Linked DNA regions of Oryctolagus cuniculus. The protein of the gene in region 1 binds, or shares a complex with, the protein of each later gene. Links are inferred from orthologs where the notes say so. Each region holds a gene or a part of one and is shown on either strand. Other genes may lie near its edges.

Region 1 (3,810 bases):
GTAAAGAAATATTCAAGGTTTTTATGTGATGAACACTATTCTGATTCTATACAGAAACTAAGTAAAAGCCTAAGACCTAAAACAACTTTTGGGGGCTGGCGCTGTGGCATAGCAGGTAAAGCCACTGCCTGCAGTGCCAGTATACCATACGGGCATCAGTTCAAGTCCCAGGTGCTCCACTTCCTATCCAGCTCTTTGCTATGGCCTGGGAAAGCAGTAGAAGGTGGCCGAAGACCTTGGACCCCTGCACCCGTATGGGAGACCCGGAGGAAGCTCCTGGCTCCTGGCTTCGCATCGGCCCAGCTCTGGCCTTTGCGGCCATCTGGGGAGTGAACCAGCAGATGGAAGATTCTCTCTCTCTCTCTCTCTCTCTCTCTCTGCCTCTCCTTCTCTCTCTGTGTAACTCTGACTTTCAAATAAATAAAATAAATCTTTAAAAAAGAAACAGACTTTTCATGTTTTACTGAAAATGGTATATTATATTATATGTCATGATGTATTGGGGAGACATGATTTAACTTACTAAGTTTTTTTTTAATTTTTAGGATGAATTATTTATTATAGCATTCTTTTAATCCTCAGGCTAGATGAACTGCAGAAGCAGCTACAAGAAGATATAAGGCAGGGCCGAGGCATTAAATCCCCAATCAGAATCGGAGATCAAGATAGTACAGATGATGAAGATGGCCTCTTGGAAGAACACAGGTATGGTATTTTTTATAATGTATGTATGTCATTTTACAGTTTTTGTTTTTTGGCCGGCACCGTGGCTCACTAGGCTAATCCTCCGCCTTGCAGCGCCAGCACACCGCGTTCTAGTACCGGTTGGGGCACCGGATTCTGTCCCAGTTGCCTCTCTTCCAGGCCAGCTCTCTGCTGTGGCCAGGGAGTGCAGTGGAGGATGACCCAAGTACTTGGGCCCTGCACCCCATGGGAGACCAGGATAAGTACCTGGCTCCTGCCATCGGATCAGTGCGGTGCGCCGGCCGCAGCGCACCAGCCGTGGCGGCCATTGGAGGGTGAACCAACGGTAAAGGAAGACCTTTCTCTCTGTCTCTCTCTCTCTCTCTCTCACTGTCCACTCTGCCTGTCAAAAAAAATAAAATATAATTTTTGTTTTTTTGTAAAATAAATAGGCCTTTGATGATTATTTCCTTCATGAATCTTTACTGGGTTTCTAATCGTCTGTGATGGTATTAAAAGGCAAATGTTAGAGGCAAGTTACGCCTTTTCTTTTGTACTGATTATTGTTCCTTCTCATAAGAGACAAAAATTGGGAGCAGCAAAGCATACTTTTTCTCCGGCTGGTCGTCTAACCTGGGATTAACATTGGACGTAAAGTTTTCTTTGCACCCAACTTTTAAGTACAAAACCATGTGCAGTATAACTATTTGGTATTCAAGTAACATGTTTTATGTTTCAGGGAATTTCTAAAGAAATTTTCAGTTACAATTGATGCTATTCCTGATCATCATCCAGGTGAAGAAATATTTAATTTCCTTAATTCTGGAAAAATTTTCAATCAGTATACCTTGGATTTAAGAGACTCTGGTTTTATCGGACAAAGTGCTGTAGAAAAGCTTATTCTTAAGTAAGTAGAAATTAACATTATATCTTTTTCTCTATAAAAATTATTTTAAAAGACTTCTGACCAATGTAATTTTCCGGTTTCCTAATCCTTTTTTGCCCTTTATGATATTTTACTTAATTATAGGAAGCAGGATAGGAAAGTTGACATGCTTTTATTAGTTAGGATTAAGATCCATAAATAGCAGTGACTGTCAGAGTAAAAGGAGCTTAAACAAGAGTTTATTTCTTTCTTAAGTTAAAGAAGGGTAAGAGGTATAAAGTCTAGGGCCAGTATGTTGGTTTCACTATTCTTTTTCTCTGTCATTCTTTTTTTTTTTTTTATGTAAGATTTTATTTATTTATTTTGAGAGGCAGAGTTACAGACAGTGAGAGGAAGAGACAGCCCTGCTCCAGCTGTTAGCCATCTGGGGTGTGAACCAGTGGATGGAAGATTCTCTCTGCCTCTGCCTCTCTGTTTTTTGTTTGTTTTGTTTTTGTTTTTGTTTTGACAGAGTTAGTGAGAGAGAGACCGAGACAGAGAGAAAGGTCTATCCTTCCATTGGTTCACCCCCCAAATGGCCGTTATAGCTGGCGTGCCACGCCGATCCGAAGCCAGGAGCCAGGTGTTTCCTCTTGGTCTCCCATGTAGGTGCAGGGCCCAAGCACTTGGGCCATCCTCCACTGCCTTCCCAGGCCACAGCAGAGAGCTGGACTGGAAGAGGAGCAACCAGGACAGAACTGGCGCTCCAACTGGGACTAGAACCCGGAGTGCCGGTGCTGCAGGTGGAGGATTAGCCTAGTGAGCCACAGCACCGGCCTGCCTCTGCCTCTCTGTAACTCTGCCTTTCAAATAAGTAAATAAAGTTTAAAAAAAAAAAAGCAAAATTAGATGTTAGTATAGACAAGTAATCTCAACCACAAACCAGATGTTAGTATGGATAAGTAATCTCTACCTAGCTAGTCTGATTTCTCTAGGTACTTGATATCTTAGAGCTAGAGAGATCATATCAGTTCTGGTGCTGAGTTTTACGAAACAGCGTTCTGCAAGCTAGCAAAAGCAGAGGAGGTCCTAAGATTTTATAGGCTCTTTCAACACTGCCAACAAATGTAGCGTTGCCTACTAGACAGGCGTGAAGCTGAAATAATAGATCGCATCAGCTTTATGCCATCAGTTGAATTTGTTTTGTGAGTAACCTGTCTATATTGGTGTGGGATCCACCTACACAGGATGATTCGCTTTTTATTGTCTTGATTGTGTCAGATGTGGTGGTAGTAGAAATGCTTTGCCATGAAAGTAATAGTCATTGATTTCACTTTATTTTTTCAGATCAGGAAAAACAGATCAGATTTTTTTGACAACACAAGGCTTCCTCACCTCTGCTTATCATTATGTCCAGTGTCCTGTACCTGTGTTAAAGTGGCTATTTCGGGTAAGAGAAATGTTTGGAGGGTTATAGTTGCCTGCTACTGTATTTCCCAGTCAAAAGCAAGTTTTTATATGTAATTTTACTTGCATATGCCTAGGAGAAAATTAATATATCAAACCCGTGATTTCAGTGGATTAGAATATACAAAAGGAGTCTGAATGCATTTAAAGGAAATGTTAATACAGATAGTATGCAGGATAGTCAATAAAGTTATATGTGTCTGAGGCACTTCATCACACCAGTAAATCACTGTTACAGTTAGTTTTAGAAAGGATCTTCAAATGCTTACATTCCCTAAATTTTGTTTTATTTCTAGGGGTACCAATATTCATTTTCAGGGATTTTATTGTATACTAATATTTCCCCATTCGTTCATATGTGTGTGTGTGTGTGTGTGTGTAAATCCAACTGTTTCTCTTTTTTCTATTTATATTTTCTACTTAAATCCACTTGAATATCTTAATTTTTATTTTTAAGTGTAACTTTTAAAAATATAGATGATATTGATTTTATATGTAGAGTCCTGGTATTACTCTAGGTACTTTGTCCCTTTAGGCAAACGACATCATTAATATAGAAGTATTGTATCATCCAATTTAGGGTTAAATGCAGTACATCCTAGAAGAGCTAGGAAGCTATGGAGAGGGACTTTTTGACTAGCTGCTACATCAGCAAGTACTATGATGATGCTCAGTTGGAATTAGCCTCCTCCCATATTCAAAGAAGATTATGAATGACAAGTTATTCCCAGGTTGTGAGAGTGTTCCACTTTAATAAAATTCTGAATGTATGAAAAGCATACAATAGAGGAAGA
Region 2 (4,448 bases), on another chromosome or scaffold:
GTGAGCCAGCAGATGGCAGACCTCTCTTTCTCTGCCTCTGCCTCTGCATAACTCTGCCTTTCAAATAAATAAATAAATCTTAAAAAAAAAAAAAAAAAAAAAAAAAAAAAGATGTTGTTTGCATCCCATATCAGAGTGCCTGGTTCAAGTCCTGGCTCTGCTTCTGATTCCAGCTTCCTGCTAATGTCCATCCTGGGGGTGCAGCAGGTGATGGCTCAAGTACATGGATTCCTGATGCTCACATGGGAGACTCCAATTGAGTTCCAGGCTCCTGTCTTCAGCCTGGCCCAACTCTGGCTGTTGCAGACACTGGGGAGCGAACCAGTGATCAGAAGATCTGTGTCTCTGGCTCTCTGCTTTTCAAATAAATACAAAATTTTAAAAATATAAAAGCCTCTTAAAAATCTTGGTACGTAGATACTAATATTCTCAAGCTCAAAAACAGAGACGTGATAGAATCTGCCAAAGCTCACCCAGCTGCTCTGTGGGGGACCTTGATTTTAACAGAGGTCTTGCTGACCTCAGAGCCTTCAGGAAAAGTTAGAAAAAGACTGTAGGCTTTTATAACCTTGCAAGTCTCTCAATGTCTTCGATCTTTATCATGGTTATCCCACCACCTTTATCTAATTTGCAAGAAAAATAAAAGGAGAAACAAGGTTGGCATTTTCATAGAGATGGACTTCAAAAAGTTCATGGAAAAGGGCATTAAAAGATAAGTTTATTTGGAATGAAACGTCTTTGAAATCCAAGCACACTCTTCCAAGAACTTTTTGAAGACAACTTTTATGAATGAAATTCCCAAAATTTTTCTGCACCAAAATAAATTTGCCTTTTAATTCTTTCTACCATGAGCTTTTTGAAGCACCCGCCAATATCCAGAGAAGCAAGACTGAAATGAAGTCCTGCTCTCTGGAACCTGCCCTTCATTTCTATTCAACTCAAAAGGCTCAAGATCAAAATGTTACCTTGGGCAACCTTAGGGGACGGCGACAGAGAGAGAATACATTCATATCCGTGTGTGTGTGCGCGTGCGCGTGTGTGTGTGTGGGACACAACAGCCTGGGACAGGGATCACCACTGTGCACTTATGGAAGCTGGATCAATGAGGGAAAAAAACACCTGGTTAAGCGGGTAGAAAGGGGGACTGAGACAACAGGCAACAGGGAGGAGGAACCTGGAGAAAGAGCAGTTGTTACCCTGCGGTGACTCCCACTCTCTCCCTCTCTAAACTGTTGCTTGATGACCTCAGTCAGTACTTGGCCTTCAATAGCTTTCCTGTTGGGATGACTGCCAAACATCTCCCAGTGCGGACTTTCCTGGAGAGCGCCACTCCTCTGAGCTGGCCCCACCCACCTCCCGTATTTTCCAATAGCATTTTAAATCCAGTTGGTCTGAACGGAGTTTAGTGTTGCCTGCGCCAGGAACCATCTATCTGCTGTGCTCCTCTCTCTCTCTCTCTTGCCCCTCCATTCCTTCAGTCGTACTTTCATCCAACATTTATTATGCATGCTGTGTCCCGCGTAACTTGCTGTGGCGCTAGATACATCCATTCATTCATGAAGGCAGGTCGTTTCTACCTTGAAAATCTCATGTGCCCACCTCATCAGACAAGTACAATGAATTGGGTACAATTCAACTAAATTTTTACTGAGATATTGCGAGAATCCCTCTTACTTGGACCATGGCAACACAGCACCGTGCGTTAACACGTTCTGCTCACCATTCATTGCTCGGGGATCACCTAGCACTTAGCACTGTACTTGGGACACTGACCGACTGCACAGTGGAGGCTTAGGGGCTGCAAACTGACTGGAAAGGGAATGGGAGGGAGCAGAAGCTAGGGCGCTTATCTAGGATGGACATTTGCACACGAAGCACCGTGTTTTCCTTAAACTGAAGATCTGCACACATAGCATCAGCTTGACAATTATTTCTGGGGTGTGGCTGGGGAGACTGTTGATGGTCTTCTCAGAGGAAGCTTGTTCGCAGGACCCACTTGTAGGATCGATCATTTCCTGGATAGGTGCTGTGGTGTGTGGGTGCTGTGCTCTCTCCATTGTTCCCCAGCCCCTAGAGCATCTGGCTCTTAGTAGGGGTTCAGTAAGTGTCTGGGAAGGAGTCTGGAAAGGCAAAGACAATTTTATGCACCTGACAAAAACGAAGGGACTAGAAGGAAAAAGAAATGGGGCAAGATGTTGCCTTCCCTATTCCCGCAGGCTTGGCACCCTGCACATGCCTGCTAAGTGAAATGAATCGCTCTCCTGCACAACTCCGAGGCCGGGCCCCTAACTGAGCAGCCAGGCCCTGGAGCGCAGCCATCATCTGGCCCAGGCCCATGCTTCCCTCCCGCCTGGCCTGGGCTCCTCTTACCTCGCTGCGCACATCTGTGCCCACCACAAGCCAAACAATTACGCGCCCCCACGTCCCCGCCTCGAAGTCTGGGTAGCGGTAGCGGTAGCGGCAGCGGCCCAGCCCCCAGCCCCCGTAGTCCAAGCGCCGGGGGCGTCCGACGCCGGGCCGAGGACCACCGATCGCCTCACCAGGCCGCCGTCCAGGGACTCGGCCGCCGTCCACTCTCCAGCCTCAGGCCGCTCGGGCTTGAGCGCTGAGCTCCGGAGGCCTGCCCCCGCCACGCTCCTCGAGGCCCGAGAGGCTGGGAAGGCGGCAAGGCGGGAAGCGCTGCAGCTGTGAGGCGCCAGGGGCAGGCGGCGGGCCCCGGGCAGGGTCTCAAGAGGCACAGTCCGAGCCGAAGCGACCCTCGGGGCCCGCGGCCGGGCTCGGCAAACCGCGCCTGGCTCACTCACCACAGTCCGGCGCGGCAGCGCGCCGGGGGTCCGGGACAGGGCCCGGCGGAGCCTCCGCGTCCGGCCTGAAGTGGCTCCTCCGTAGCTCTCGGAGCCGCTGTCGTCCGAGATCACGATGAAGTCCTCCATGGCTGCGGGCCCCAGCCGAGCCAGCACGCGGGCGGCCGGCCGGCGACCCAGAGGGCGGTGGCAGCAGCGGCGGCGGCGGCGGCGGCGACAACCAGGGCCATCACCCCGCAGGCCCCGCCCCTTCCCGCCCCGAGCCCCCGCCCACCAGCCCCGCCCCGCCCACCGGTGGCCGGCGGCGGGTGGCGCGCGGCGCGCAGCCGGCGGCCGGGTCGGGGCCGAGGGCCCTGTGTTCTGCGGGGCCGCCCATCCTCCCTTCCTTAGAAGAGACGCGGGCGAGAGAGAAGGAAAACGAGTTGCAGCTGGTTTGGGCCGGTGTCGAGGCGGGCATACCAGACGCCAATGCTGTTGGGGCTTCCCAGCTGACCGAAGTGTGAAGGGAAGTGGGTGGGCTGGGCCCCTGACCGGGAGGAGTCCCCAAGAATAGGTGACCCGACCTTTGCCTGAGGGAGCAGAAGGGCCTCCAGTTGACCCGACCTCTGAGCGTGAGCAGGCCTCTAAATGACCTGTCTTCTAGAAGACTGGGGTAGGGGACAGAGACCCCACTTCTTCGTGCACACGTGCAAGGGTAGCCCTAGGATAAATACCTACAAGTGGAATCATCGGGTCAAAGGCTGTGTGTTTATCGTTGCTGGGGTAGGCGATGGTAAATTACCCTCCTAAATTGCCCCGACTTGCACTTTCACTGGCAGTATGTGTCTCTCAGATATTTCCACTCACATCTACAGCGTTGGCCAGTAGCTATAAGGAGGAGAGGCTGAGAACGCGCCCAAAGAGAAGCCATGACGTAGTGCAGGCCGTGAACACGTAGATGTTGTGCACAGGCAGAAATTACAAAGATGAAAACAGTGTCTCCAACAGAGGGAGAAATGGTAGGTACTTGGCTGGTTGTAGGGCAAAGATATCAAAATCAAGATGTATTGTCACAATAAATATGGGGCATGGACAAAACTTACTCAGGCTCCAACAACTTTGCAAAATGTGTTAGTGGTGAGTCAAAAATGTGTTTAGCATAAGTGCTAAGTGCTGTCTTTGCAATGTCCGCCACAGTGGTTCTCAAACTTTAGCTAAGCATCAGAATCACCAGGGGCCTTGTTAAAAACGCAGATTGCAGGGCCATGCACCAGTGTCAGATTGAGAAAGTGAATTTTGGGGGGTGGGACCCCCAGATTTGCATTTCTAATAAGTGTCTGGGTGATGTTGATGTTGCTGTCTGGGGACCACACTTTGGGAATCACTGCTCTGGCTGATAGGGGGTTTATGGCCAGCAGAGTTCAGATGTTCTAGTCCAAAATGGGTGAAATCTAATCCAGTGGGTTCAGTACTAGGAGGTGAAGTCATCCTTGGTTTGAAGGGATTCATTATTTATTTATTTATTTTTAAATTCAGTACGTTATCATCAGCGAATGCCATTGAACATTTCATTTAGTCAATTCCCTGTTTCTTGAAACACTCTTCTTAGGGCCGGCGCCGTGGCTCAATAGGCTAATCCTCCACCTTGCGGCGCCGGCACACCGG

The links.
Region 2: the proteins of SLF2 (region 1) and SIMC1 are in contact, whole or in part, in a cryo-EM structure (PDB 7T5P), measured with the Homo sapiens proteins. The link is inferred for Oryctolagus cuniculus from reciprocal best matches to the Homo sapiens genes SLF2 and SIMC1. Residues at the interface, in NP_060591.3 of Homo sapiens: His738, Val772, Leu775, Lys778, Asp783, Phe786, Gln790, Gly791, Phe792, Thr794, Ser795, Ala796, Tyr797, His798, Tyr799, Cys820, Ile821, Gln825, Ser828, Met831, Glu832, Ile835, Arg836, Asp838, Thr839, Ser841, Asp842, Ser843, Pro847, Lys919; in NP_001295125.1 of Homo sapiens: Tyr426, Arg428, Leu431, Lys435, Leu438, Pro440, Val442, His443, His444, Leu445, Phe447, Gln448, Arg470, Arg471, Phe490, Asp493, Pro497, Val521, Asp522, Lys525, Glu526, Tyr528, Met529, Met532, Lys533, Gln536, Leu537, Arg571, Asn658, Gln661.

The regions. Positions count from the first base shown.
Region 1 is NC_091446.1:28,940,940-28,944,749, reverse strand, and holds part of SLF2 (SMC5-SMC6 complex localization factor protein 2), read left to right. Parts: intron 1-582; coding exon 583-705; intron 706-1,423; coding exon 1,424-1,591; intron 1,592-2,896; coding exon 2,897-2,999; intron 3,000-3,810. UniProt on the Homo sapiens protein: Plays a role in the DNA damage response (DDR) pathway by regulating postreplication repair of UV-damaged DNA and genomic stability maintenance.
Region 2 is NC_091437.1:62,263,575-62,268,022, reverse strand, and holds the start of SIMC1 (SUMO-interacting motif-containing protein 1), read right to left. Parts: upstream 3,067-4,448; 5' UTR 2,934-3,066; coding exon 2,805-2,933; intron 1-2,804.